Caenorhabditis elegans: one gene and its partner. The protein of the gene in region 1 interacts with the protein of each later gene in a pairwise test. Each region holds a gene or a part of one and is shown in the gene's direction. Other genes may lie near its edges. The genes, in order: F56D2.2 and atp-3.

Region 1 (15,836 bases):
ATATCAGCTAAGAAAATTCAAACTAACCACAAACCCCTTGGCAATAGAAATATAATAGTTGAAAGTGCAGGATTTGCAGAAAACATGAGAACATGGCTGGAACTTTATGCAGTGCTGTCCCATTTGGGATTCGAAGCATACCTGGAAATTTTGATGAAAAATTAGAAAAAAAATACAAACGTTACTTGGCAATCGTAGAGGGTATTAACAAACTGTTCTTCAACAGCTTCCTCTTCTTTCTGTAGTATTTTCATTTTCAGAGATTCGATAGTCTCTCCTTGTCTGTTCAGTGCACATGCCTCGTTCAAATTTATAATTTTCGGAGTGTTCTGGGCCATCTGAAATTTGATAGTTGAAAAAGACGCCAGCTGCTTGAATCAAAGAACGTAGCAGTCGACATTCCGCAGAATTAAAAAAGTTAAATTCTGCATGAGATATCTAGATTTAAATTCGCTCAAAGGCATACCCGTGAGATGTCGGTCTTCTAATCAACATCCTACTTCTAATGAATATGTAATTTCTACTATCTGTGTAGACCGTTACATCTCAGAACGCTTTGCAGACGACATATCGCGGGTAGCCCATCTATGTCATTCAATAACGAACCAGCAAAATGTCGGCTGCAGTTAAATTTAGCAGAGGACACCTTACGTGTCTGAGATGTCGGCTCATAATGGTGCTTTTTATTTGATTCTCGCTACTCACCAAATCAATTATTGTCTGGTAGCACATAAAAAGCACCTCCATCATCTGGTTTTCCTCGCAAATCTTTGCCAACTCGGTTTCACAAGATGTCATTTGTTCCTGATTCATCCAATAACTTTCCAGTTCAAGTTTTGGTGATGATACGGTGGGATAATCATTTGGAAGATGGAATTTTAGTCGAATTGGAGGAAGAATGTCAAGAGGAAGATGAAATTGATCGCCGGAGTCAGATGTTCCTTCAATTGTGACTGTTGGATCGTATAAGTTGTCAAATCCGACCTGAAATTGCACTTGACTATTCTAAAACTCATTTAAAAAAACCAACTAACCAACTTTCAACCGTAACTTAGTGACTCTTCTAAAAAATACTTTACTCCATATATGGCCATATTAGTTTATCTCGTACAGGAAAATAGTCAACCGTGGCCAAAATTTCGGGCTAATGATTATGGAGGCTATTGAAATTTTCTATACTTTGTTACCTTAAATATTTTTGATAACTTACATAATTACGTAGAAAGTGTAGCTAAAATATAGTAAGGGTAGTTTCAGATAAATAATTTTTTGTTGTTATTTAGTGGACATTAAATTACTTTTTTAAAAGTTAAAATACCCCAGCTTCTCTCAAAAAACCAAAATCTTTACCTCAATAATTCCCTGGATTTCAGCATTCTTATCACTCCAATCACTGGATTTCGCCAGTTTCTTCTCTCTTAGAACACTTTCCAATGCTTCCAATTCATATATTTGCAGGTCACGATCAGTCATTTTTTATCGATTTTTAGACAAGAGACGCAGAGATTCAATAGACGGAGTTTAGGTAATTTAGAAATGAATGTTCAGGAATTTATAGAAAATATTTTACATTATTAGTCAAAAATGTTCAAACAATATATGAGGAAAGTTTGCGGAACAAAAATCAAAATTAATTACTAAAATATTGCGAAATATTGCAAAATTGTAATGAGTAAAATTGCGCAATGTGATAGATAACCTGTTGTGGAAACGATGAGAAATACAATTTGAAACTTTAAATTTAGAGTATTATCAGTGAGAAATTGTTCAACTTAAATTGTGTTTTTCTCTACGTGATGTGTACTTTAATTGCGTTTCAATTGTTTGTATTTAAACAATCGAAGAGTTCAAATTTGCAGCAATGCTTGAAATTGCCCCCAAAAGTTCAATTTTTCAATTTGCCAAACCTTTCACTAAAATTTTTGAAAAATGTATCTATCCATGTACCTTATTCTTCAGGAATTGATAAAATCTATCGATTCATAAAAAACTAAAGCTATTCCAACAGAATAGAAAAACACAATGTTCAAAAATGAAAGAATATTAAAATCATGTGAAAAGGGAAAACTTCCAGAAAGTCGACTCTTCTCGTTTACTGCGTTTTGTGAATATCTGAAAACTTTGTACGGATTTGTTACCATTTCTTCAATAGGCCGTGTATCATTCTGTCAATTTTTGGTGGATAGGTAAAATGTAACAGCCAATTTGATTTCTGAAAAGTTTTCGAAACATTTTTAAATATATTTAAAACATTTATTTAGGTCATACAAGTCCCGATATTCGAATATGAAACTACATCCAATCACTGAAGTGCACCATTGTCCAGCCTTTCCATTTGTTCTGCAAATTAAAATTTATCTACAAATCTATTCTGGTGATTGCGGCTGGATAAAATTTTAGTCCAACTCCCTGATTACCTCGTATTTTATCTTGAAAATAGTCGTTTTTTTGGACAAAAGGGGCGTGTTGGGGTAATATCTGACATTAATCTGAATGACTCCATACTCGTAGCGAACTCGTTCAATTATTCCGGTCGGATAAGATTCAAAAGATTTGATGATTCCCTGTGCCGCTTCAATCATGCCACTGACAGCTGAAAATAACTAAATTTCAAAATTGTTTCTGATATCGTACTTACGAAGCATATCATCCGGAGCAAAAAGATCCACTACTGCAACTGGGTCCCCTGATTTGATAGCTGCCTGGAACTTTTCGAAGAACTCCTTCGGTACGTTGGCATATTCTTCGGGGACTGGATCCAATGAAAAGACAATAGAAGCACTTGAAAGAGCTAGAAGAAAAATTGGAAGACGCATATTTTGGTTTGGCTACATGGCGAACTGAGCATTTTTATAGTTCGAAATGCTAATTCAATTAGAATGTGAAAATTGTCAATCAATGCGGAGGTTGATGTTTGGTGTCGTATTGATGATCATGATCATTTTGGGCATTTTGAAGACACCACATGGGTTCTGCCGCGTACGGTATCCGGTCTCGTCATGATAAATTTTAGCTGAATGAAAAAGCGTGTGCAGTGTGTGGCAGAGGAGTTGCGTCATTCCACGTTTAAAAGTGTGCCCAACATCAGATATACCTTTAATCCTCCAACCCGTCGGAATCAAGTAGCTCACACACACACACACACATACATAATCTGAGAGCACGTGTAGTTTTTGTTACATGCTCAATTCTAAAACAGAGGGCGCGAGAGAGAAAGAGGCCATCTCTAGGACAACGTACTAATGATAGAGAGACGGCATCCGCTTCTGTGTGATTATGTAGCTCTTTTTCTCTCGTACCTGCCTCTTCTTCAACTTGTGATATTATCCCACGTATTCATACTCTCTTCTTCACTTTTTGTTTGAAGCTTCTGGTTGCCTTAGGCCTCGTGGGATAATATGCAACGTTTTGTGCGCTTTAAGAATATATTCACTGTAGCTTTTTCAAATAAGATCCAGCTTAGGTTCAGTTAACGCGGCTCCGGAAGCTTCGTCACGAATTGGATTACTTTGACTTTCCAGATTAGAGCTTAAGCTTTCAGAAACATGCGAAGACGTAGCAACAGACAATATGTTGATCTCTCATATTTTCGCGAAACTGCCGATGCGCTATTATTCGACGTTGAAACCAATTCACGCGAATTCACCAATGAAATCAACACTGTGAAGGAGGAGAAAGCCAAGTGGGATGAGGTAAGCTTTCACACAAAGTTTAACTCGCCTGCCTACCTGGGACCTAGGCCTGATTTATGCCTACTTCAAAAGTGGGCGTGGCATGTGTCGAAATAACTTTTTTTCAGAGAACACCGCAAGGGTATACGGCAAAGCCAATTAGTTTTGAGGGCGCAGACATATGGTGTTCTTGGATATGTACAGTACCTGGACCGAGAGGAAGCCCCTGGGAGGGAGGGGAATATGAGGTTTAATTACTTTTTAGTTCGCAAAAGTATATTATCTCCAGGTTTCCGTGAACTTTCACAAATGGCCTATAATTCCGCCAATTTGTGAATTCAAAACGCCGCTTCATCATCCGAACGTGGACCTCAGAGGTTGGTTAGAACTGTTTCGAAAAAATATGTTTGAGTGTGAAATACAGAAAACGGTAGCAAAAAGAAACGCATTATTACAAAAATCTTTACAGGATCAATTTATCTTAAAATGCTGGAACAAGAGCACTGGTCTTCTGAAACTTCACTCAAGAAACTTCTGAGGGAAATCAGCAATCTACTTGCAACGCCCGATCTTACTCAAGCTGCAAATATTGAAGCCTGGATGGAATATGAGAATCAGCGGTTAGATATATTTTAACGGCGCACAGCTGCAAATGTGAACAAACTCGGCCACCTATTCTTCTAGGCCACTTCGATTTGGAGCTAAGCGTCGTTGAACAGAGAAAAGAGAACACTTAACTTTTAAAATTATCTTGTTCCAGTGAAAATTACGAGGCTAAAGCTCGAGCTTATGCTTGGACAGTTAACCCGAACGCCGTGGGATACATGGAAGTATCCGAGAATTCCGGAATTCAGAGGGAGACAGCAAAGGCTAAGTTGGCAGTGCAAAATGGTGCCATGGAATCGGACGAGGATGATGACGATCTACCAATTGACATCGAAAACTAATATTACACAAATTTTTATATTTTTGGTATTGGCCAACGTTTTCTGTTGAAGACCTTTTCCACTTTCTCAAAACTTTCTTGCCGACACTCTATGGAATTTTTCAGATTTTTCTCCAAAAAGGTGCCAATTTTCTATACACATTTATTTAAATCCCAATGCCCCTTTTTTGCAGCAAACTTACCTGACCTATGTGATAATTTTTCCCATTTTCCCTACTTTCCCGATCACACCAATTTTTCATTCTCTTTCCAAAACCATGTCTTTTTACGAAAAAAGTGATTATTGTACCAAATAAAGCTATTCCAAACTCGTTGAGTCGGGGTGTCCTCCCATTATCTCTTAATGAAATGGCAGAACAAGAATAAATCTACGTAGTCAACATTTGTAGGCAGGGAGGTATGCTTGACTAAGCTCCAGTCTACTAAGGATTTAAAAAACTCGGCCACCGATTTCTTGTTCTCGGCCACGTTGCAATGAACCGCAATGCCCTTCAAAAAGAGGTGATACTCGTGATTGCACGTCATTACCTCATCCCCAATGTCTATATTTACTTCTCCCGCACACCTTGTCAGATATCTGCACTGTTCATGGTGTGCTCATCGCCTCGCGGAGAGAGCTCTAACCCAAAAGTTTTAAACGTAAAAAGCCGGAAACGGTATAGGTTTATCGGTTCACCGAGAGCGCGCCTAGATCGTGTGGTACCGCCCCTCCTCGCCTCCCGTCAAAGGTCTCTATTTACTCCCAAACAGTGTGCTCTCGGAGCCTCCCGATCCCCCTCGCTGACCATTGTCCACTCCACTCGACCGTGCACAGTTGACTCCTTTTTTTGTACTAGTCGGTTGTTGGAAATGAAACGTATTCTTTTGATTTCTCTATTTTCGGCGGTTGTCAACGGCTTTTACTACAAGAGAACTTTATACGGAGATGCTAATGAGGGAGCTGCCATGCCAGACTATGTTAATGCTTATTATGTGAGTTTTCTTGGCTTGTAGGATTTTTAAGTGGCAGTTTCGGCAGAGATTTCACATCTAAAATATAGTTTTTGAGTTGTTTTGCAACAAGTCAGCCAAAAAATCGGTGGCCGAGTTTTTTGCTTTCCGCGGCCACGTAGCGAAAATCCCAAGGTTAATTATTACAAGGTCACAACCATTTCGGTATGTTGTGTAGATTTTTCTAATTGAAACTAGATCAGAACACAAACGCCTGCTTGCTTGCCTTCATTCACCTACGCTTGTATCAAGATTGTGCACATTGAAAGTAGGCGTGTAGACAGGCACGTAGGTACCAAGGACTGAAGATTTCATGAAAACAACACCAAACACCAGAGTCCAGCAAGAAAAAAAACCAAAAAATAATAGGCAAGCTTTCATGAAAACGAGTCTGCCTACCAAGCCTTATTGAAAATTCTGAACATTCATTTTCCAGGGTTTTCCAACAATCCCAACACAAGAGCCACGTCGGCGACCATCTTTCAACATGAATCCACCACAAGGATATTTTCATCGGGAGCATCCATTTGACTTTGGGCCATTTGGTTATATGAGAGCAAGGTAAGTTCCGGAATAGGTGGCCAAGTTTTATCTCCTCGCGGCCACTTAGTAAAAAACTGACCGTAGCGCCAGATTACAACGATAATCTATTCAAAACTCACTTTAGACGGTACCTTAGCAACAAATAATCTTGATTTTCCTTCAGAATTGGAGAAGCCAACTTCGGTGAGCCCATGGAGAAAACTGACCGCGAGCGAGCTATGGAACGGGCCAAACCGGGATTTTGGCGTCAAAACCAACGCGAAACCATGGATCGGATCAAGAAAATTATTGGAGAGCAGAGAATGAATATGGAGCAGAAGCAAATGCATATTCGAAGAGTTCTAGCAAATGAGAGTGATGAGATAAGGGTAAGAAGATAAATAATTTTTTCTCAACAAACACAAACATTTTTCAGTCCAAATTCGCTGATATTCACAAAAGACTGATCATGAAAAACAACAAGATGACCGTCTCCTCTCCAGTTCCAGAGCTTAGCAAACAGGCGAAGAAGCTTGAGAAAGAGGCCAAGAAAATTATGGAAAACAAGAAAATGAGTGTAGAGAAGAAGCAGGAGAAACTTGACAAACTTATGCTTAAGGCTCCAGAGAACGTTAAGAATGAGCTCAATGCTATGAACGATTCGGGGTGAGCATTGAGTTTTTCATGGTAGGCAAGACGCGCATGTAGGCAGGCGCAGGTTGCATGGGAGGCAGGAAGCAGGCGTTACATGGTATTCCTAAAAAGATTCCAATCCGTGTAACACTCTCGGAGAATTCAATCATATCAAAATTGATTGATGCTTAGTCGATTTTTGTGTTTCTCCTCTATTGCTCTCTTCGAAAAATCTCAAATCTTTCAGATCAACACCTGCCCCAATTCAAGCTCCATTCCCAGCTCCAGGACAAACCGAGGCTCTTAATCGGGCAAACCCATCAATGGCTTCTCAAGTTGAAGTAATGACTCGTAATGCACCAACTCAAGCAGTGGTTGAAGCTCGTCAAATCCGAGTTTCCGAAGATGGAAAAACTGTGGAAATTTAAATAATCTGTGCTCTATGAGCAATTCTTCTTTTTGTGTATTTTACGTCTAATTTTCTCAACTGCCCAACGTCTTTCCCTTGTGCTCCATCCCCAGAAACGACGAGCTATCTGACTGTATATACAAGTGATTTCAGCTCGGCGTTTGCTCACCTGCTCAGTTCGCCTTCTGTAAATATAACCTTAATCCATTCAAAATCGTTGTTATCAATCTCAGCATATCAATTGTTTATCAGTGTTATTTAAATAATAAATATATGGGATTTTCTGCGCTAATATATTAGAAAACTCGTATCTTTCCAATAAAAAGTGGAATTTGAACATCCACGCTTTGTTTCTGTCAGATGGAGCGCGTTTGGTGCATGTTTTTTCAGCGGTTTTTTTGCCCTTTTAAAAAAGTCTAGATTTCTAAACATTTTGAACGCGATACCAGTTTTTCTTGTTCTAGTTTGTGTTAAAATAATTTCTACTAAATTTCAGATGTCAGACGACAGCCGTGAAACTCAGTTATTCGAGCTAGAAGCACTGGAGAGTGTGCTAAGGGAGAATAAATTGACGAGAATCAGTGATTGGGCGGATAAAAATGCAGAAATTCGGGGAATAATTGAAGTAGAATATTGAGCGTATAAAGAAGTTTATTATTAAATTTTTTCTTGATTTCAGGTAGGATTTGACACATTATCCGATCCAAAAGTCACAATTGAAGGAACGTCTGACTCCAGCGATCATTTTTCCATCCCCCTAGACATTCTTCCACCAATCCGATTGAAATTTCATCTTCCAAATGATTATCCCTCAGTATCATCACCAAAACTTGAACTGGAAAGTTATTGGATGAATCAGGAACAAATGACATCTTGTGAAACCGAGTTGGCAAGGATTTGCGAGGAAAACCAGATGATGGAGGTGCTTTTTATGTGCTATCAAACGATAATTGATTCGGTTAGTTTTTTGTTCTTTTTAACAAATTAAATATATAAAAATAAGTTTCAGATAGACCAATCTCACCTAAAAATCATCAATCTGAACGAGGCGTGTGCGCTGAAAAACAATGGAGAAACTATTGAATCGCTGAAAAAGAAAATTCTTGGAAAAGGCGAAGAAGCTGCTGAAGAGCACTTTGTCAATACACTTTTCGATTGTGAAGTAATTTTTTCGTAGTTATAAAATTATACTATTTTTTCAATCTTCCAGGTATGCTACGACTCTCAAATGGGCCAACATTGCATCAAATTCCAGCCGTGCTCTCACGTTTTCTGCAAACAATGTACTTTCGATTATTATCGTACAATATCGAAAGGTGTTGTGGTAAGATCCAATCGATTTTTTTTTTGGAAAAATTGGATCATTTACAGTCAAAAGCCATGCAGTGTCTAGCAGAAGGATGCAAGAGTGAAGCACAACAAAATACGGTTAAGGAGGCACTCGGAGATGATTTATATGCAAAGTGAGATACATTTCCAAAAAAAAAAATCCAAATTTGAATTTCCGCCAGATACGAGACGATTATGCTGGAGAAGGCGATTCGAGAGATGGAAGACACCGTGGAGTGTCCCAGAGAGAATTGTCAAAAAGTCGCCTACGTCACGGATAGGTATAGTTTAAAATATAAAAATAAATGTAAAAAAGAAGAACATTTCAGACAACGCTTCCTGGCCGAATGCTCCTACTGTAACTTTTCGTTCTGCAATCTGTGTAAGCAGACATTCCACGGAATAGAACGCTGCAAATGGAAGAAAGGAGACAAAGAGCTTCTTGTCAAAAGATGGAAGGATGGAGATGAAGCTGAGAAGGCTGAAATGTGCAGGCAATTTGGAGGAGAGAAGCGTGTCGAGGAGCTTGTGGAGCGGTTCCTCAATGAGGAATGGCTGGATTCGAACAGCAAACCGTGTCCCAAGTGCTCGGTGAGCATAGAGAAGAATGAAGGATGCCACAAGATGCACTGTACGAAGTGTGACACCTACTTCTGTTGGTTGTGCTCTGAAACTCTTGACAAGGAAGATCCTTATAAGCATTTTCAGGGAGATGTTGGTTTTTTCTTAGAATTGTGTAAGAAATGTATTTTTCATTTTCAGGGATCATGCTCTGGACGTCTGTTCGAAGGAGTTCATCACGATTTGCTAGATAACGATGACGATCTTCTTTTCGATATGGCATTTAACGACGGTAGTGACTATGACAGTGATGAGACCGTCGAGTATCCTGAATCCGACGAAGATATTGATGCGGAGGATTGGTTAGAGCAAGAAGGACATTTTGACGAGCTTTTCTTTAATTAACATAACTTTACGGTTTTCTCTAAATTTACGGATTAATTGTCAAATAAAATGAATAGTTCATCCTTTTAGATTTGGTGATTGATTTAAAAGTGAAAATAGAATTAAAAGAAAGGGGTAAGAAATAAACAAAAAATAAATAGAAACAATCAAAAAATTTGACAAGGGGCAATAGGGATAAAAGAGGTTTGGGGAAATGAGATCAGATGATTCGGAGGCATCAATAGCCTCTGCCAGCGTTTCTCTGCAGGGTCTGCATCACAGTAGTCAGCTTCCGTTTCGTGTCTCCATCTGGGAAGTTGTCGAGATCATAGTATTGAGGGGCGATTTGAAGTAGCCTGAAACGCATATCTAGTTAGGTTTTGAATAATATAATTTGCAAATTAACTCACCATTCAGGGCGCACATCAGTTACAGTTCTGATGAAGTTCTTTGTGGTTAACACGAACTCATTGTAGAGTGCCCACTCCGGCTTATGATCGAGAACTGTGGATGGATGAAGGTTGACGAGCTGATTATCTTTCACCGTCACGTAGTGTCCACTTCGTTCCAGATGAGCGACTTGCATGAAAAATCCAGCTACAAGAGCTTTCCTGATGTTGAGATAATAGTCTCGAGATTTGAAGTCTGTTGAGACACGTCGAAGATTGTACTTGTCCATAACACGCGACAATTGTGTGCGGACTGTGTCGGCAGTTTTCATAGTTCTGTAGTTGATGAAGTTATCGTAACACCACTGCGGATCTTCTTGATCTGAAATATGCGAAACTAATATTTGAAAAAAAGAAAAACAAAGTCAACTTACTCTGCTTGAACGAATGATAGACATTGAGAAGTGTGAGATGATCTCCATCAATATGTGCAAACCGAGCCTTCGCCTCATCGGCTTCTGTTCTCATTTCATTGGGACGAACCCAGCACTGCGGAACCGAGAGCATTGCTGTGATCGACAAAATTTCATTTGAGCAATTGAGTTCAGTGGATGTGATAAGCATCTTTGCGAGCTGAGGATCAAGCGGGAACTCAGCCATCAGACTTCCTAGTTCAGTGAGCTCTCCATCGTCGTTGATCGCCTGAAGATAGTTTAACAGTTCCAGCGCTCTCATCAATGTCTCTGGTGCGGGAGGATCCATGAAATCGAAGTGCACAAGATCTTCGGTTCCGAGCTTCTTGAGCTGCAGCACAACAGATCCGAGATTCGACCGAAGAATTTCAGGATATGTTTGATCTTGCATTTCTGATCCGTAAGCCGTTTCGGTGTAAAGCCGGAAACATTTTCCTGGCTTTGTTCTTCCGGCGCGTCCAGCTCTTTGCATAGCAGAAGCTTTCGAAATGGGACAAACAAGCAGCGACTCGACACGAATTCTTGGATTGTACACTTTTTGCTTCGAGAATCCAGGATCGATAACAAAGACAACGCCATCAATAGTCAATGATGTCTCAGCGATATTTGTAGAGATGACACACTTTCTGCTGATTGCTCCATTCGGTCGATTTGGTGGTGCTGGTTCGAAGATTCTCTGCTGTGCTGCTGGGGGAAGTGTAGAGTACAACGGAATGCAGCTGAGTGCTCCAGCATCTGCTCCCAAGGCTTGAATCTCACGATCTATTCTTTTGCAAGCTTCTTCGATCTCTTCTTGACCAGTGAGGAACAGTAAAATGTCACCTTCAACCTCCTCGACCATATGAATTTGGATTACAGTTCTGATCGCGGCTTCTAGATAATCTTTCTCCGCATTTGGAGTGAAGAAGATCTCAACAGGGAATGTTCTTCCGGGAACACTGAGCAACGGGCAATCCTCGAAATATCTTTGAAACTTTCCTGCATCCAATGTAGCGGACATGATTACGACCTTGATATCAGCTCGATTTCTCACGATTTCCTTGATCAGTCCCATAAGAATATCTGTGGCGAGTGTTCTTTCGTGAGCCTCGTCGAGAATAAGGACTTTGTACTTATCGAGGAGCGGGCTGTTCATTGCTTCTCGCAGCAACATACCGTCTGTACAGTATTTGAGAACAGTTCGTTCGCTGATGCAGTCTTCGAAACGAATACTGTATCCCACTTCTTGTCCCAAAACTACGTCCATTTCCTCAGCAACTCTTGTCGCAACGCTCATCGCAGCGACCCGTCTAGGCTGTGTGCAAGCCACCAATCTCGCTTGACCGGGTGGTTGTCCTTGTTGCTGCTGCTTCATGAACTCGACGGCCCACTGTGGGATTTGCGTGGTCTTTCCGGATCCCGTTTCTCCGACAAGAGTGATGCACTGGTTGTTCCGGAGCAGCTCCATAAACTTTTCCTTATATTCCCATACTGGCAATTGACTTCTTTTCTCCCAAATTGCCCAATATCGGTTACTAAATGGCTGGTTGTTGTATGGATTGATTTGGATCTGTAAATTTGGAGATGAGAAACAAAAATTCGTTTACTAAAAAATACCTTCATATTTCCAACTGCCCCAATCTGTCTTTTCCGGTCGGGGGAGGAGCGTCTGTGTGGCGATCGGGAGCGGGATCGGGATCTGCGGTTAGGAGATCTGAAAATAAATTATTATTATTATATTGAACTGGGGAAGCAACAATTTTACTTACCTTCTTCTGTCTCCGCGTCCGCTGCCATCTAAATCCAATCGGTGTCTCGAAGACATCGCAAGTTTCTCCTTCAATAGGAAAATTAGAGTTTCAAGTGGCTTTATAAAGCGTTATACGAAAATATTAGGTATTTCGAAAAGCTACGCGCAGGATAAATGGATTAAATGTATGACAAATTAAGAAAACTAGTTGAAAAAGGAGAAAATCAGCAAATATAGAGATATTGGGAACAAAAGACAGAATTTCGCAGAATATATTCGGAATAAGTATGGAGCGATTTACGGGTGCGCCTTTAAACTTTCGGTGGGTCTCGAAGCGATTCCGCTGTCTGCGTCTCTGCACTGCTGGGCGGCTTGATGGTTTTAGTTGTTTTCAGCTTCTTTTCGAGTTTCAGATATATTTTTTCAAGTTTTTCAATTTAAAATAATGTTCTCTGAATTTTTATCTATCGATTAATATCCTATTTATATATTTTTATTTTCAGAGAACAGGGGAAAACTTGAGAGAATGGCTCTCAGACTCGCCGTCAGCTCTGCTTTGCGTCCGGCTCTCAATAGCCAGGTAATTTTCTTGTGAGATTGCTAAAAGAGAAATAAAAACTCTTAATTGAAAATAAAATTGAAAGTTGTATGCCCACAGGTCGCATGGAGAACGTAACAACGATGATAATGTAGAAAATCTAATTAAATTAATTAATTTTCAGGTTCGCAATGCTTCATCAGCTGTCTCCGTGAAGGACGTGCTTGCCAGCGCTCCACAAGCTGAAGTTACCACCTTGAAGAATGGCTTCCGTGTTGTCACCGAAGATAATGGATCCGCCACCGCTACCGTAATTTTGCCCACTAGTTTTCTAAAATTTCTTTTGTTTTAAATTGTAGGTGGGAGTCTGGATCGAGACCGGATCTCGTTTTGAGAACGAGAAGAACAACGGTGTCGCACATTTCCTCGAGCGATTGATCCACAAGGGAACTGGAAAGAGAGCATCTGCTGCTCTCGAATCCGAGCTTAATGCTATCGGAGCAAAACTCAACTCGTTCACTGAGCGTGACCAAACCGCAGTTTTTGTCCAAGCTGGAGCTCAAGATGTTGAGAAAGGTAAATATTTGTAACTTATAAAATTGTGTTAATTTTCCAAAATTTTCAGTTGTCGATATCCTCGCCGATGTTCTCCGCAACAGCAAGCTTGAGGCCTCAACCATCGATACCGAAAGAGTTAATCTTCTCAAAGAGCTCGAAGCTTCCGATGACTATCATCAGCTTGTCCTCTTCGATATGCTCCACGCTGCCGGATTCCAAGGCACCCCACTCGCTCTCAGCGTTCTCGGAACCAGTGAGAGCATTCCAGTAAGTATTTATTTGGGTTTACATAAAGTTGATTATTTTTTCAGAATATCTCTGCTCAACAATTGAAGGAGTGGCAAGAGGATCATTACAGACCAGTGCGCATGGTTCTGTCCGCTGTCGGAGGAGGAGTTTCCAATGTTTCAAGCCTCGCCGATAAATATTTCGGAGACTTGAGCAACGAATACCCACGAAAGGTTCCACAGGTCGATGGAACACGATTCACCGGATCTGAATACAGATACCGCAACGATAATGTCCCACACATGTATGCTGCTTTCGCTGTTGAGGTACAAATAATAAATGTGTGTTCAGTCTTTCATTTTACTTCATTTTTAGGGTGTTGGATATGCCCACAAAGATGCTCTCGCTCTTCAAATTGCCAATCAATTCATTGGTAAGTTGGCTTTTGTGTGAATTTTTCAATTCAAACCGTAATTTTGATGAGTTTTAGGCCAATGGGATGTGACCCACGCTACATCCAGAACAGCTGCTTCCAGACTTGTCCAAAAAATCGGACACGACCACGGAGTCCATAACCTCCAGCATTTCAACATCAACTACAAGTAAGTATCTTTTTTTGCAAGCTTATTTAAATTTTTATTTTCTTTTTTTCAGAGACACTGGATTGTTCGGAATCTACTTTGTTGCTGATGCTCACGACTTGAACGACACCAGCGGAATCATGAAGTCTGTTGCTCACGAATGGAAGCATTTGGCCTCTGCTGCCACAGAAGAAGAAGTCGCCATGGCCAAGAACCAATTCAGAACCAACTTGTACCAGAACCTCGAGACCAACACACAAAAGGCTGGATTTAACGCTAAGGAGGTTTGTTACTCTGCAGAAAATGCTATGGATAGTTATTTCATTATTTTCAGCTTCTTTACACCGGAAATCTCAGACAGTTGTCAGAACTTGAAGCTCAAATTCAAAAGGTTGACGCTGGAGCTGTCCGCGAGGCTATTTCAAGACATGTGTACGATCGTGATCTTGCTGCTGTCGGAGTTGGTGAGTAGTTTTCCACTTGCTGTTGTTTTTACATTATGAGAATTGCAAACAATTTCTCTTTTCTAGGTCGCACAGAAGCCTTCCCCAACTACGCCCTTACTCGCGCTGGTATGTCGTGGTGGAGAATGTAAGCAGTGAACGATGACGTCTTCCTCATCTCGGATTCCCTATGTACTTTTCGCTGTTCGTTCACCGTCTCTCTCTCTCTCTATCTGTTGTCAGATACACTTTTTTAGAAAACTTTTTGCTGTTCATTTATTTTCTTTTTCCAAAAATTAATTTTAATTTAGAGTAGCGTTATTTGTTTGTACGGTTCGGAGTAAAATGAATGAATTGACGAATTGTGCCAGAAAATGTATATCTGCTCGATTATTTTCTGCAGAATTATAATATCTGAATGATTTCCTGATGAGATTGTCTGCCCATCAAATCAGCGCCCTCAATTTTCCCCCGATGCAAAAAAAAAAACACAACAAGACCACTCCCAATTGGACGGAAAGATATCTGCGTCTCCGACCGATCCATTGCATCTCTTGTCCACCGGTTGACTGGCCTTGACCACGTTCGCACACTTATTGTCAGCCTCACCCGAGGCTATCCGCTTACTGAACCCCACTTTACGCGAAACTTTCTGTATATAGGTGACTGGCGTTAAATAATAATAGCATCGTTCCATTTTACAGCTAATTTCTTACCTGAAAGTTTTCGAATCTTGAAAAAAAAACTAACTGTCATTTCAAGTAGTAATTAGTAATTCTTTATTTCAATAAAAATCAGCGAAAATGATCCAAAGTCTAGAATTTTAACAGGAAACAGTAAAATTGTAGAATACTGAATTCCCACTTCTCCTCGAGAAGTACACGAGCTGCGTAAATCGACACATGGTCGTGTTATTGGTTCACGAGTGTGCGCCTTTAAAAAGTACTGTAGTTTCACCTTTGTTTTTTCAACTTTTGTTGCTGTCAGTTTTTCACGATTTTTCGATGAAAACATACTTCCTGATTGATCAACTTAAATTTAAATTAAAAAAAAAACTTCCCGAAAAACCATTAAAATTAAATGAAAATTCCGGAACAACAAAAGTTTGAAACTACAGTACTCTTTAAAGGAGCACACCTTCTCGTATTTAGCACAAATTTGTCGTGTCGAGAACATTTATCGAATTATTGGTCCAAAAATTGTCTGGATATTATGTGAAAGCCCGTGATTGAATTTTTTCTAGTCCAAAAAACATTTCAATTTGTTTTTTTTCAATTTTCACTTTGACGATCACAAGTTTCATTTCTTTCTCTTCTCTTGCGATGAATTAATAAAATATCATGTGACTATATTTCAATTCTTTTTCCAAGTACATTCTTTCAGAATTTCTCAAAATTTTCACCCCAACAAGATGACATATCTGCGTCTCTCCTATGTACCACTTCTAAGTTT
Region 2 (14,869 bases), on another chromosome or scaffold:
ACAGAGGGTCGTTGGGAATTCCGCCTGCATACTTTGAATTCAGATCTTGGAGGAACGACATCTCATTTGAAAATTATTGGATACGGTATTTCTTTGAACTTATAAAAATTGCATACTATTTTCATGTTTAGGAGATGAGAATTGGCTAGCAGACGACATTCCGAATGATAGCCTTCTCCGTGATCCGTCTCAAGTTCCACGAATTCAAGTTGATTTCGGAAACATTGGACGGCTTCAAAAAGTTCGATTTGAAATTCAGCCAGCCGGTGATCAGCCTAACTATTATCTGGAATATGTTGAAGCTCAGGATCTTGACACAAGGGAACGATGTGTATTGATGTATGACATCATATTACTTATAGGAATAATCAATAATAAAAATAATAATTTAGGGTGAACAATTGGCTTCTGAAGGAAGCAACGCCGGGATATCGAAAGTTTCAGTCATTCAGGGAAATTGCCATCTTTTCGAACAATTATTATCCAGCTTCTAGTAAGGTTTTCAATTTTATTACCAAAATCGAAAATGAAAATGTGCGCCTGCAAAAAAATTTAAATGAATTTTTCGAATTTTTTTATTGGTTTTTAAATTAAATGTGAACTTATCGCGTTCCATCAATACAGAAAAAGGGGAGCGTCAGGAAGATTACCATATTAAATTTTCTAATTTCCAGTCAGAACATTCGAAGGAACAGTTACATTTGGTGATAAGTCACTTATTCCACCTGGTGACTCTCCAATCATTCTGCAATTAATTTCGCAAGGAAAAAATCATGATGATATTCCATTGGATTCTTCTGGATATTTTCCAATTGTGGGAACAAAAATGAAAAATGGAACCACCGTGAGTTTAGAATTCAAAACTAAAAATAAATGCAAATGTCTACTTTCTAGAGCTATGGATACAAAGTTGAATTGGTCACTCTTGATTCTCTGCCAAGAATTAGAATTCTTCCCAATGTCACTGATCTTGGTTTGTTGAACTCTGAAAGATATTAATTGATTAATTATTCAATTTTCAGGAAAAGATATTCTTGATGGACTTCATCTTTTAAAAGGGGTTTTTGACAACATGGGCGACAAGGGGTTTTTAAAAGAAGAGGATATTTCCGTGGGAGAACAGGTATAACATTCAATTTTAACTCTTAATTTTCAGCAAAATTTAGGAAATTAAAAAAAAACCCCTAACATTTTAGAATTATGAAATTTTAGAATTTATGAAAAAATCCCTTGAAATATTGTTCTGAAACTGATTTATTATATTTTCATATTGATTTCAAATCTCATAGATGTGTTTTAGAAGTGGAAAAATTCTGAAACCGTTTTGGAAAAATACATTTTTAGCATAAAATTTTAATTGTTGATCAATTTGGGTGGAAAAAGTAAAAAATAGATTTCGAAAAAAAAATCCGATTCACCCATTTCAGCCTTTAAAAAATTCTATGGGTTTTGAAAATAATTTTTCTAAAAATTAAATTTGAACGTGCACTGAATTTTTCAAAACTTTGCCAAAAACATTGGCAGTTTATCAAAACTTTGACCTGAAAAATACGACAAACCTAAAAATTTAGAGTGTTAAAAAATATTTTTTTAAAGATTTTTTGATAATTCAATTGTTCAGCTTAATATCCTTATCGTTTTTTCAGCTTTTTATCGAGGAAATAGTCCAAAAATCCGGTGATCATTACCCTTACGTATGTACATACATAAAATCCACAATCGATGTTGAGGAGAATTTGAGCCGAGGCCCATTTATGAAACAGATAAAGCCAAGTAGTGAGTTTAATTTTTAGAGGTTATCGCAACTGATGTACAGAACACTCAGGCGCCAGTTCAATTTCGACAGCGAAAAAGTTGAAGAAAGGCGAGAAGAAGGTAGTACAGGAGACAGTGAATTGGCAGTTAACTATGAGTTTGGTAAGTTAAAAGCTGCGGGAGCAAGTTTGCAAAATTCAAAATTTCAGGAAAAATCTGCCAATCATCATCATCCAATAATTCCAACAGTTGTACTGGTGACCAGAGATCGACAAATTTTTGAAATGGAATGTGAAATGGAAACCCCAGAGCCTCGAGGTTCAATGATGTTTTTAAGATATACGGTATATTTTTTTCTAAAAATTAAAACACTGACCAACTTTCAGTTAACTACTACAAACTTTGGAAATCCGTTTAAAGTTCGATTATCAAGTGAGGAAGATGGTCCAGATGTAGAAACCCATGTTCATAAGGTTAGCATTTTTTATTACACAATTCAGGTTTATTCATTTGATTACTATACTAGTGGTTTTGAACAAATTTTGCCCACTGGCTAATTTACATTAAACTATGAATTTCTAGATGATGCTCAACGAGCTGGAGTCGAAAACTTGCGTGTTTTTCAAAGTTTCATGGGAACTGCAAGCATTTGAAACGATTGAGCAGGAGTGCACATATCCAGATGTTGGAGATAATGGAAGTACGTTCACATACCATTAGGGGGCAAGATAAATTCATTGGAAAAATTGTATTTCTTCAAAACACCAAAGCAAATGGAAAATAAAACATTTTCAAATTTTAATTCTGAACTTCACTTTAAACTTTATGTAGTTTTTTTTGCAAAAAGTGAATTATAGCCGAAGATTTTACACGGTATCTTTTATTTATAGGCCGCGATTATGAAGTACACATTCGAACCTTGGAAGGCGGCGGAAACTTCCGACCGTACATTAATATAATCGGAGACAACGGAGATACCGGACACAGACCATATGCAGGAGTAATTGATTTTAATCCAGAAAATGTAAGTTCAAATGAAAAACACAAAGAAGAATATACAAAGTATTTATTTATTTGATAAGATCAATCTCTGTGCTTTTTGCGAAGATCAGCCAGCTTCTTGTTAAGATTCTGAAGTTCACTGAAACTGTCAATAATCTTTTTCTGCTTCTTGATAACTGATCTTTGCAATTGAACTCTCTGAAGAAGATGAAGCGCCGGCACTTGAGCACTCATTGTTGTGGAAAGAGTAGAAAGAAAAGATGAAGTTGTGTCCGACATTTCTGAAAGAATGGTTCATTCGAGATAGTCATTAAAAGGTTCTTACCATCATCGGCCATTTCATCCGTCTTCTGTTCAGAATTCTCATAGACTGTTAAAACATGAGCCGATGGGAAATTAGAACTCCAAACAGTGGTTTTGTCATCATCTTGCTCGGAGAGTTGTTCATCAGACTTTTCAAAATTAAGCGATGTGACACCAGACAGGGTGTCATCATCCCACGTTCCAAAAGTTGAAAATGGGACAGAAAACAGTCCCTCAACATTTTCGAATAGTGATGGGAGCTTTTCCTCTTCAGACTTTGAAGCAACAATCTTCCAAAATTCCATCATCAATTGAGTAGTCTCGTTGATCTTACGGGATTCGATTGTTGTTGGAACGGGTGAGACAGGCATTTGAACTGAGCAATTGAAGCATAGCAAAGGACAGCTTGCACACTTCATGACTTCTTTTGGAATAGACACATCAACTGGGCATGATTGAACTTGACGATCATTTCCCTGAGAAACAAAGCTTTCTGTTAGCCCGGAAAAATCAAAAGTTACCGATTCGATGTTATTCTGATAGTCACTCAATTGATGATCAATCGGAAGTTTATCAGTCTCAATCTCATTCATTTTCTCCATTTCCTGCTCCATTTGCAGTTCGACCATCTTGAGAAATTGTCCAAAAGCCGTGTAGACAGTGATCTTCTTGACCATTTTGTTAGTAGAGTTAGCTTGTTAGTGAGGACGAGTAATGTCGTAATGAAAGAAATCAGAGATTTCTCCTTGTTATATAGTGTCCTTTATCTTGATGTACTAGAAAAGTTAACCTTTCGAGTTACGTGCAAATTGTTTTGATTAAAGTTAAAACTATAAGTTCTTGATGTCACGTCTAAATCGCAAAAATATTCCGAATTTTTTTCGTCAGCTTTCAGTGAAATTCTCGAAAAAAAAAGAATTTTTCAAGATTTTCTGTTCTTTTTTATATGGTGTTAATGATGGAACTTTTGGAAACAGCAGAAAACATTTTTTAACTTTTTAAAAGTGAAAGAAAAAATGTATTTTAAAATTTAATGATTTAATGAGTTTTTCAGCACGAAGATAATAAGTTAAGTTTATTTTGCTGCCGCAAATAATCTTAATTTTCAGGCAATGATAATGGAAAGTATTGGAGCTATCAATCTGAAAGAGTTGCGGAACATAGAAGTATGGGCCAAAATTGGAGAGGTAATATTTATAAAATTAACTCGTGACATATTTAAACTTTCAGCCCATGAATTGGAAGGGAAATATTACAATAGTTACATCGGATGAAAAGATTTATGAGTCAGAAGATTTGTAAGTTGCATTCCATTTTCTTTTAGACACCACCTGAATGTTTTATTTCAGAGAATTATCGAAAAACGGGCAAATCGCATTATCCCCATTGATATTTGTTGGAGTGAATGAGCCGGTTATTGATGGTGAAAGTTACATTTAGATATTATCTGGTTATCTACCTTTTTGTCTAGTCTAATATTGTTTTCATTTTTTGTTGTTGAACAAATATTTATTTCAAATCAATATCCTTGTTACTTATTTGTGCTTCGTCTTCTTTTTTACCACACACGGTTCAATATCACTTAAAGTCTTTCGGAATTCAATATTAATGAATGATTTATGAGTTTTCTATTGAAAATCTTTATTGTTGGTGCTTAACGTTTTTAGGTAATTAAAAATTTGTAAATCTACTTGGTGAAAATAGGCAATGGCTGTTATATAGGCAGGTATGCCTTTGAAAATGTCTACCTACCATGGAATTGAATTGAACATTTTTCGAAGGCCATTGTTTCAATTGTTGTGTTTTTACATATAAAAATTAAAACAATTTCCACGTAAGGAAAAAAAAGAACCTTTCAATAACTATCTAGGTAAAATCATTCTTTCAGAAAGGATGGCACAACTTCATCTCCTTCATCTTTGCCCACTTATTCCACAACTTCATCTTTTTCCACAATAAGTGCTCATGTGCCGGTGAATCGTCTTCATCAGAGAGTTCACTTGCAAAGATCAGTTATCAAGAAGCAGAGAAAAATTATTGAAAATTTCAGTGACCTTCTGAATCTCAACAAGAAGCTGACTGATCTTCGAAAAAAGCACAGAGATTGATCTTGTCATATAAATTACAATAAATCTTTGTGTTTTTCATTTAAGCTTACATTTTCTGGATTAATCACGTTCTGTTTATAATATAAGTTAAAGTTATAATATATTCTTAAATGGTTTTTAATCCCTATCCTTGAGAATAGAATGAAGGTGTGTCCTCATGGGGCGAGGCAATTTTATCCAGTTCTTTGGCAAGTTTTCTCCGTTTCATCTCTTATCTGTTCTTTCGATTTACCTGATCAGAGGAGGCATATAAAAGGAGACGAGATGAATGTGGAACACTATACTTTTCAAATTAGAAGCTTTTCCTTTTTCTTTTGAACTTGCTAACTTTATCTTTAAAACTTTTCTCAAAGTCTCTGTGTTTTCAGAAAATGGTAAAGGCCGTCGTCGGATTCGGCGCTGCATGCGGAATCTCTGCTATCGTTGCTTGCCTTTGGGCTGCACTTGTCATCACAAATGACATCAATGACATGTATGATGATGTGATGGGAGAGCTCGGAGGATTCAGAGATATCTCTGATGACACTTGGGGAACCCTTCTCGACGTTCGTCACGGAGCCGGAGAGTCTGCTGAGCAATACGTTCGTGGAATCTTCGGACGTCACAAGCGTTCCAACAGCCAATGCTCTTGCGGACTTCCATCTCAAGGATGCCCAGCCGGAGCTCCAGGAAACCCAGGAGCCCCAGGAGAGCCAGGAGGCACTGGACCAGACGGAAAGAACGGACCAACTGGACTTCCAGGACTTAACATTCCAATTCCAAATGACTTCCCTAAGGAGTGCATCAAGTGCCCAGCTGGACCACCAGGACAAGATGGACTTCCAGGACAAGAAGGATTCCAAGGACTTCCAGGAGACGCTGGAAAGCGTGGAACCCCAGGAAAGGACGGAGAGCCAGGACGTGTTGGAGATATTGGAGATCAAGGAACTCCAGGACAAGACGGACAACCAGGACTTGCTGGACCACCAGGACGCGATGGACTTACCGGAAAGGGACAACCAGGAGTCGCTGGACGCCCAGGAATGCCAGGACCACGTGGAGAGCCAGGAAACAACGGAAATCCAGGAGAGGAAGGACAAACTGGAGCCCAGGGACCAACTGGACAGCCAGGAAAGGACGGATTCAACGGAAACGACGGAACTCCAGGACAAGCTGGACCACAAGGAGCCGTTGGAGCCGATGCCGAATACTGCCCATGCCCAGAGAGAAAGCGCAGACGCGTCTAAACTGTTTTCGTATTCAAAAATAAATATTTATGTATTCAATTGAAGTTTATCACATTTTTTGAATAATTCTTTTTGAAAATACGATGGCAGGTCTCGACGCGACTGAAAGACGTAAGGGAGTTCGCGCCTTTAATGTATTTCTAACGCTCCGCCCCTGAAGATTAGGTCTCTTTAGGTATTAGGAGAACATGTTCTATTATTTTTATGCTTCATGAATTGATGCAAAAACAACTGAAAAAATTTACTTTTAAAAGAAAAAATGTTTGAAAATCGGCGAAAAAAATAGAAAACGTTTGAGTTTACAGTTTCGCCGCCTATATATATATATAGGGCCCCTATAGGGCGCGCGCCTAATACCTAACGAGACCCATGCTTCGGAGGCGGAGTGTGTACATTGGTTTTTTCTGCGTCCCTATAATAATTTTTCGAAATTGTTTTCTAATACTAAGTGAAAATAAATGGAAATTCGAAGTAAGAAGAAAACAATTTATGAAAATTGCACGTTTTGAGATTTCAAAAATGATTACGATTTATTTTTCGAAATTCGAAATTTTATAACAAAACTTCAATATCAAATATAGCTTTTCAATCGCGACAAGACCTGATTCCGCTTCTTCAAACTATTTAGATGATCTTTTGTAAGGCTTATCACGTTGTTATTTAATACTTCCGATTGACTATTTGCATAACTTCTCACGAGGTGCAGTATCTTATCAGCTACAAGATTCAATCTTATGATAGAACAATAACAGGACAAATGTTCATTATCATTTACAACTTCAATAGGGCAAATAGAAATTCAATAATAAATAAATAAAATCAGAAAATTGACAGCTTGCTCTGAATTAGACACTTCTTCTGACTGAGATTCTGGTGATAAAAAGAGGCGGGATCCTAAGGTGCTCATCGACCCGCAGGAGAGAAACTAAGGTCGATTAGTGAGGAAATACATTTTAAAAGATAAATCAACTAATAAAGAGGAAAGATGAATTGATGATGTTTGGTGATTTGTTTGAGGATTGAGATTGGAGATCGCAATTATTAATGACACGCATCGGTTTGGAACGAATCCGTCACTTCTCCATCACAATTTCGGAGTTGGAGAACTGCAAACAGCCAATGTCCAAATCCTGCTCCTAATACCACCGCAGCAGCTGAAAAAATACACAGAATTATTGATTTAAAACTAGAAATTTGTACTTACTTAGATAAGTGTTGTAAGTCATCACAATGAGCATGAGCCAATAGGCGAGCACCAATTGAAAAATGTACAAGAGCATCTGAATGAGCCGTTGAGGAGAGAATGGCGAAGTTGCAGGGGTCCTCGCTACCGAAGCCGATATCAGGAACGGTTCAGATTGAGGCTTGTTGCTCTGTGAGTGGGTAACCGATTGATGGCAAGTGCCTCCAGAAGACCGCGTTGTCTGAAGTGCAAACTAGGTCGGATAAGATATTTTTTAATGAAACATAGAGAAATATAAAATTACTTACCTCCACGCATGATTTGTTGGCAAGAACCTGAGCTTGTGTTTGCGTCATTTGCAGAAATACACGGAACCACTTGACACCTTCATATGTGGCGCCCATAATGAAAATAGCAGCACACGATAAAAGCATACCTGAAGAGTTGTTAAAATTAACTAACAGTTAAGAAATAAACTTGAATTGAATAATGAAAATCTTACCGAAAAGTGAATCCGTCCTCCAAAAATCGAATAGAATAACTTCTTCAAATCCTCCATGGAACCACATTTTCATCATATGTCCCTCGTGTCCACCATGACCTGCGTGTGATCCATGAGACGAATGTTCATGATGTTCATTTTGATCTTTTTCATCGGGCACAGGAACCGCTTCTACTTCTTTTCCAGCGAGCTCATCGAGAAAGTTGTCTGCAGCTTGTGCGTAAGCACTCTGAAATGCTAAATGTTAGATTTTTGAAGCAACTATTAAAATTAAACCTTATTTTCTGCAGCAGCAACCACCAAAGCCACAGCCAACCATCCTAGGATGGCCAATTGTGTACCCATGATCTGAAAATATATGACGTAACATGAAAATCAATAAAAATTGCGTTTAATATGACTAGAAGTTATACAAGATAACAATTTCAACTGCAGCTTCAACATTTTGCGACCTTTTATACGCAACCTGTCATGAACATGCATTTTATCGAGATGGAAAGTTTGCAAACAAGAAAACTCCACAAAAAAAATTGTCTAAAAATTGCAGCACCAAATGCGCTCTACTGAACTGACAGCCGGTGATTTGGCTGCGTACCTTGGCTTATGGTTAAGAGAGTGATACTCAGCCAACGACCGCCCTTTTTCTCTTGAAATTAGCTTTCAGTTCTTTTTTATCGAATTTCAGTTAAGTTTTTGTACTATTTTATGCGAATTTTTATCCCAAGCAAGCCTCTTTACCTATATTTGACTATTCTTCACGAAAAAGTATGTAAAAATCCACTCTTTATTATTTTTTTCTTAATTAAATTTAAAAAGTTGTTTTAATTAATTCGTTTGCTTGCATACATTTATTAAATTTAAATTTTGCCTAATTTCTTAATTTTGCAGGTAATGGCGCAACTCATGAAACGCGGATTCTCCACGAGCGCTGCTCTCGCTAAGGCTCAGCTGGTGAAGACCCCGATTCAGGTTCATGGAGTCGAGGGACGTTACGCCGCCGCTCTTTACTCAGCCGGACACAAACAGAACAAGCTCGACCAGATTTCCACAGATCTGAACAATGTTCGCTCCGTGTACAAGGACAACAAGAAGTTCCAAGAGTTCGTCCTCGACCCAACTCTCAAGGCCAACAAGAAGAAGACCGCCATCGAGGCTATCTCAACTAAATTGGGGCTTACCAAAGAGACTGGAAACTTCCTTGGTATTTTGTTAACGTGTAATTACAAATTTAATTGTAACTTTCAGGACTTTTGGCTGAGAACGGACGTCTGAACAAGCTCGAGTCAGTTGTTTCTTCATTCGAATCCATCATGCGCGCTCACCGTGGAGAACTTTTCGTTCAGGTACTTTTATTATAACTGCCAAGAAAAACAATGTTTCTTTTGAAATTTGTTTTCGTAAAATTATAAAATATGAATAGCGAATGTTTTCAATACGTAGAAATGGAAATTTTCAAGTCTAAATTTTAATCCTGAAGATGCTCGTACGTACCGTTTTAAAAACTAAAAATCATTTTCAGGTCACCTCCGCCGAAGAATTGAGCTCATCAAACCAGAAGGCATTGTCTGATGCCCTTAGCAAGATCGGAAAGTCTGGACAAAAGCTCACGGTGACTTATGCCGTCAAGCCATCGATTCTTGGAGGACTTGTTGTCACTATCGGAGACAAGTACGTCGATCTGTCGATCGCTTCCCGTGTCAAGAAATACAAGGATGCCCTTGCCACCGCCATCTAAATTTTTCCCAAAAAATTTAGTTCCTCATCCCGATTTTCAATCTGTGCTTCAAACCAGTTCCCTGCCTCATCATACCCAATCATTGAAGATGGTGTTTTAAAGAGTTGTTTAGTAATCGGTTTTATGTATTGTCTTCATTTTCTAGTGGGTCATAACATCAGCAGTGTAATTGTTTGTTCCAGAATTTTAAGTTTCTTTATTGTACTCTCAACAAATAAATAAATAGATCTGTGAAAAATTTCAATTATATTGACCTCGTTCTGTCGGTTACCATTTACTTCTTAATAATGTTTTGAAAGAAAACAGAATAAAATTATAGAAATTTGAGAAACAGAAATGAGTGATGACTCGGATCTTGATGACGTTGCTCATCAGAAGCTTCTGCAATCAATTCACACACCTGGAACTGTAAAGAAAAATCGTCTGAAGAAAGCATCAAAAACAAAAACCGACGCAACTTCTCTTCTATCTCATCTTACAGTTTCAAGGTATTTGAAAAACAAATTTTTTTTTAAATTTAGGATTTTTGCAATTTTACAGACCTTCAACCAACAAAGCCAAGCAAAGTCTCGGAATTGGTGGCCTAGAGTCGACAGAAAAAACAGGAAAGAAGCGAAAATCGGAAGCAACAGCAGATGAAACAACTACGAAAAAGAAGCTGAAAAGCAAAACATTAATTCCTCTAAAAGATGTTGAAGCTCGAAAGGAGATTGAAGGAAAAATTGCGTTCACTGATTTGAAGTGAGATTATTGATTTGTGATTTAATTAATAAGATATTTTTACAGAAAAGAAGTGACACAAAATTGGACAGAGCTCGTTCAAAGCAACCGCGTCAGTGATCAATTGATCTTCCCTCTCACAAAACCGGATGGAATTATGTGGGGTGTAAGTTGTTGCTTCCAAATTAAACTGTTCTAAAATTTAATAAAAGTGGAAAAATTGCTCCTAATAATTATTTTCGTTCAGGACGAGAAAACCGAGCCCGTACTGACCGAAAAGGAGATGGAATTGATGAAGGCTACAGATATTAAAATGGCAAAAGATCGTCTTTCACAAATGCAACGAATGCGTGCTATTGTTGGAATCCAAGAGGCCAAGAATCGATATATGAAGAAAATCAAATCGAAAGGATATCATCGAATTCTAAAAAGAGAAAAACGAAAACAACTTTTAAAAGAGTTTGATGATTTGGTTGCTCGTGATCCATCCGCTGCTCATGAAAAACTTGCCGAAATGGATTTACAGCGAATCATGGAAAGAGGAAGTTTGAAGCATCGCGGACAGAATCAGAAATTCAAACAGATGCTGGAAAAACATGCTAGCCGAAATCCAGAGGTCAAAAAATTGCTCGATGAGCATTTGAGGTTAGATATTAATTTTGGAACAAAAATTTTAAAATGGGAATATTTTTTCAGAATGGGAAGAGAATTAAAAGCAAAAGTCGCAACTACCGCTGAAGATTCTGATGGTGAAGCTCCAACTTCAACGGAAGATCCACAAAATAAAAAGAAGAGTATTCATGAGTTAATCAAGGTAAGTGAGACATAAACTACTAATTCATTAGACGGATTCAAGTTCTCAATAAGCTTTCTTCTTATCTGCACCGAAAACATCTTGATTGAGACCAGCCAGGGTTTGGTAGTTCGGGTCATGAGTTGCAGCCTTAGCACCATGTTGAGCAGGAGCTTTTGGTGGAGCTGGTGCACCATTTCCTCCTCCTCCACCTCCACCAACACCACCTTTTTGATCGAACACGTTGTTATTCAAACCAGCAAGAGTCTGATAGTTTGGATCGTGTGTTGCAGCCATTCCAGGTTTACCTCCTGCTGCTGGAGCCTGTGGTCCTGCTCCACCACCACCTTTCTTATCGAAAACATTATCATTCAAGCCGGCAAGAGTTTGATAGTTAGGATCATGAGTTCCGGCCATTCCTGGTTTTCCGTCCGGAGCTTTTGGAGCAGCTCCACCACCACCACCGCCTTGTTTTTGCTCAAAAACGTTATCGTTCAATCCGGCCAATGTCTGGTAGTTGGGATCATGGGTGTCAGCAATTGCAGCACGATTTTTCGGAGGCTTTGGAGCTCCGGCAGGAATCTTTCCCTTTTCCTTGGCTGCTGCTTTTTTCTTTTTTGCCGCAATCGCATCGTTTTTCTTCTTTTTACGACGCTTTTCATCATCCTCATCATCGTCATCATCATCACCTCCAGTAGTTCCTCCAGTTGTTCCTGTTTCATCTGAGTATTTTTTCTTTCCTTTCGACTTCTTCCCGCAGTTCACCAGAATAGCTGCCGGAACTGTCCAACACAGAGCAAGTTGCAGAAGTATCATAAAAATTGGCTGAAATTTTTATATTTTTTGGATTTTTTAGTTTTCAAACAATACCTGTAAACCAAATAACTCCATGCTCATCATTTGTGATATAGTTATCGATATATCCACAACTGTAGTTTGAGATCGAAGAAATAAAAATAAAAGAGTTATCAAGTAGAGGATTTTGAAAAATGATGATTTATTCTTCACGTAGTAACATTCTATTTTTTAAAATTTTATATTTAAAATTAATTTTAAAAAATTTCAGGATGCCGCCCAAGAAGCGGAGAAAGAATCCAGAAAACAAGTTGGCACGGCTCTAGTTGATACTTTCCTCGAAGACTCCGATGCTCAAAAAGTGACACTTGCTCAGATGCGAGCCAAGAAACGACAAGAAGCTGCTATAACTCGAAGTATTTCAGCGAATACTGGTGCATCACGTGAAAATCCTCTATTCGACGTCGATGACACTTGGCAAGAGAAAGAAGATGCGAAAAAGGCAAAGCAGAAGAAAAAGAAGCTACTAAAAGCGAAGGAGTCAGCGAGAAAAGGAACAATTGGAAAAGTATCATATGTTGATAAGAATTATGATCCGAAGATGGAGGCTAAACGTGCAGAAACTTTTGATGAAAAAGTGGAAAAGGCAGTGGATTCAGCTGGAGTGCATGCCGCTGAAAAACGACAAAAGGAAATTGAAATCGATCCGAGCAAATTTCTAGAGCTCAACACAAACGACTTGACACAAGTTTCGTCGGATTTTGTTGAGAAAATGGATCAGTTTGATGAAGGTAAGCTTAATCTTTTTTTTTCTTTTTATTAACTATATTCCAACGATTTTTTCCTGCAGAAGCCGCTCAAGTTATCAATGAAGCTTTCAAGGATGATGACGTCATTGGAGATTTTGAAGATATGAAAGAAGGAGTGAAAGAAAAGGAAAAAGTTAAAGATGTAGATCTCAATTTGGCCGGATGGGGCTCATGGGTTGGACCAGGAATGACTGAGAAGAAGCGACGCCAAAACTTTGTGATTAAAGCAAAAGAGAAGAGAAGAAGGGACGGAGAGAGAAACGGAGTAATTATTGCTGAAAATATGACGGCTAAGGATGTAAGCACCTGATATATCTCCTAGATTTTTTAATTGCAAAAATGAGCTTTCAGGGTATCGGAAAGATCCAGCCACGTTCTCTACCATTCCCCTACTCCCGAGTTGAAGACTATGAGGCTGTGCTAAAACAACCGTTGGGTCTTGAATGGAATATGGAGAAGATGCGAGATGAGTTGTGCAAACCTGCGGTTGTTGTTGAGGTAAGCTTTATTATATTTTACAGTTTTATTGAACATGAAAATTATGTTGAAACAAAGAGAAGGAGAAGAGAACCGTGAACAGTGGAAAAAAACGAGTGAAAACAAGGAAAGAAAGGCATTGGACTGGGAGTGTGTGATGGGTTGGACCTGAATTGTTTCAAACAAAAAAAAAGTTGATAAAACAACAGATGAAGTGGTTATAAGTAGGGAAAACATGAATAATTTAAAAATAATTAGTTTTGATCATCCGAACTAGACGAAGATCTTGCGAAGTCAATGACATGGCAACGATTCCTCCAAATCAACGAAAACGTTTTCTTCCGTGGTGATTCCTCGAGCGTACTCGTACATTATGACATACAAAGCATGATCATCGAGCATATCGTAGTCTTCCTTCTCGTCCAGTTGTTCCTTGGAAGATGCTTCCACCTCTGCAGGCTCTAAAGTCTCTAGCTTCTCTGGTACAGCTGGTTCTTCTTGTTGTGGAACCTCTACGAGTTCGACTGGAGTAGTGTCTTCAGTAACCGCGTTGACAAGTGTTCCGACGGTTTCAGCTGCAGATGTGACCATTTCTGATACGGAATTCCAGATGGAGGTTGCATAGGAGAAGTAAGACATTTTGAGAACTTGTGGTTCTGAAAATGAAATAAGTTTTAGTCATTTTAGATAAGGAAAATATGAATAGAAGGGCTGAGGAAACAAACACGCAATTTCATAATCTATTGTGCCAAAAAAGGGATAGTTACGAAATCGAGGTAATATGGAAATCAAACTACATAGAAGAAATTAAGAACATAGAGCCTAGGTAAAAAAAACGACGGACGACTGAACACCCAACGTATGGCAGGCTGCCAAATAGGCGTGACTGTGCACAAAAACGCTCGATCTGATGTAACAGTATACACCTTTGTAATCAATAACTTTCTGGCGGCTAACGAGACCATTTGATTATTATTCCAACATAGTAGAGGAAGAGAAGAGACAATATAGAGTCCCAGAATATGGATCAATATAATAGGTTTTTGAGAGTTGGTCTTTTTAAATTTGGTTTAGAAATAAGTTTCGATAAGTTTTTAAAGAATACAATTTTTAAAATCTTCATATTATTTAAAAATGTAAATCGAAAATAATGAAAGAAGAAACTGTATATATTAGAGAATCGAGTAGTAGTAGTGTTTAGAGAATTAGAGATAAAAAAATACAGTACCCCTATGAGACTCAGTGCAACCTTGCATATGCTCCCCTAAAATCATATGCAACTATTTGGTTTTTTTTAAAATCAAATTGCACAATATTTCGAATTTTCAGCCGAAAGAAAAATTCAAAAATTCTTGCAACTTTTGTTCACAATAAATTTTTTCAAAACTGATTTTGATATAATTTCGGAATAGGGACCACTTTTTACATTTGAGACAGCTCTTTTCGATTTTAAAATATTTA

Evidence for each region.
Region 2: the proteins of F56D2.2 (region 1) and atp-3 interact in a two-hybrid assay, tested with the Caenorhabditis elegans proteins (2 studies listed by BioGRID).

What each region holds. Positions count from the first base shown.
Region 1 is NC_003281.10:5,579,596-5,595,431, forward strand, and holds F56D2.2 (RBR-type E3 ubiquitin transferase), read left to right. Parts: upstream 1-7,667; coding exon 7,668-7,796; intron 7,797-7,850; coding exon 7,851-8,129; intron 8,130-8,180; coding exon 8,181-8,333; intron 8,334-8,381; coding exon 8,382-8,495; intron 8,496-8,542; coding exon 8,543-8,634; intron 8,635-8,682; coding exon 8,683-8,781; intron 8,782-8,829; coding exon 8,830-9,214; intron 9,215-9,262; coding exon 9,263-9,466; 3' UTR 9,467-9,533; downstream 9,534-15,836. Other genes in the region: F56D2.5 (RBR-type E3 ubiquitin transferase), read right to left, coding at 28-141, 186-338, 706-984, 1,351-1,473; F56D2.8 (DUF4440 domain-containing protein), read right to left, coding at 2,293-2,340, 2,418-2,593, 2,639-2,816; uev-2 (UBC core domain-containing protein), read left to right, coding at 3,546-3,692, 3,800-3,919, 3,961-4,048, 4,141-4,291, 4,432-4,618; F56D2.3 (DUF148 domain-containing protein), read left to right, coding at 5,467-5,589, 6,044-6,168, 6,314-6,518, 6,566-6,795, 7,010-7,190; Pre-mRNA-splicing factor ATP-dependent RNA helicase ddx-15, read right to left, coding at 9,684-9,801, 9,856-10,216, 10,269-11,856, 11,904-12,000, 12,056-12,111; ucr-1 (Cytochrome b-c1 complex subunit 1, mitochondrial), read left to right, coding at 12,563-12,616, 12,759-12,884, 12,934-13,150, 13,200-13,399, 13,444-13,686, 13,736-13,793, 13,845-13,962, 14,015-14,225 and 2 more.
Region 2 is NC_003279.8:5,423,722-5,438,590, reverse strand, and holds atp-3 (Oligomycin sensitivity conferral protein), read left to right. Parts: upstream 1-8,771; 5' UTR 8,772-8,784; coding exon 8,785-8,844; intron 8,845-8,967; coding exon 8,968-9,280; intron 9,281-9,324; coding exon 9,325-9,422; intron 9,423-9,598; coding exon 9,599-9,814; downstream 9,815-14,869. Other genes in the region: F27C1.1 (Ovule protein), read right to left, coding at 2,839-3,038, 3,083-3,536, 3,582-3,737; F27C1.11 (Doublecortin domain-containing protein), read left to right, coding at 5-85, 132-339, 393-493, 675-844, 895-973, 1,023-1,123, 1,647-1,776, 1,817-1,917 and 7 more; Cuticle collagen dpy-5, read left to right, coding at 5,540-6,394; F27C1.2 (Copper transport protein), read right to left, coding at 7,436-7,548, 7,599-7,830, 7,886-8,013, 8,080-8,308, 8,356-8,424; F27C1.3 (Dauer Up-Regulated), read right to left, coding at 11,394-12,152, 12,198-12,227; utp-14 (Small-subunit processome), read left to right, coding at 10,151-10,302, 10,355-10,555, 10,601-10,700, 10,782-11,179, 11,231-11,348, 12,394-12,913, 12,973-13,229, 13,283-13,429.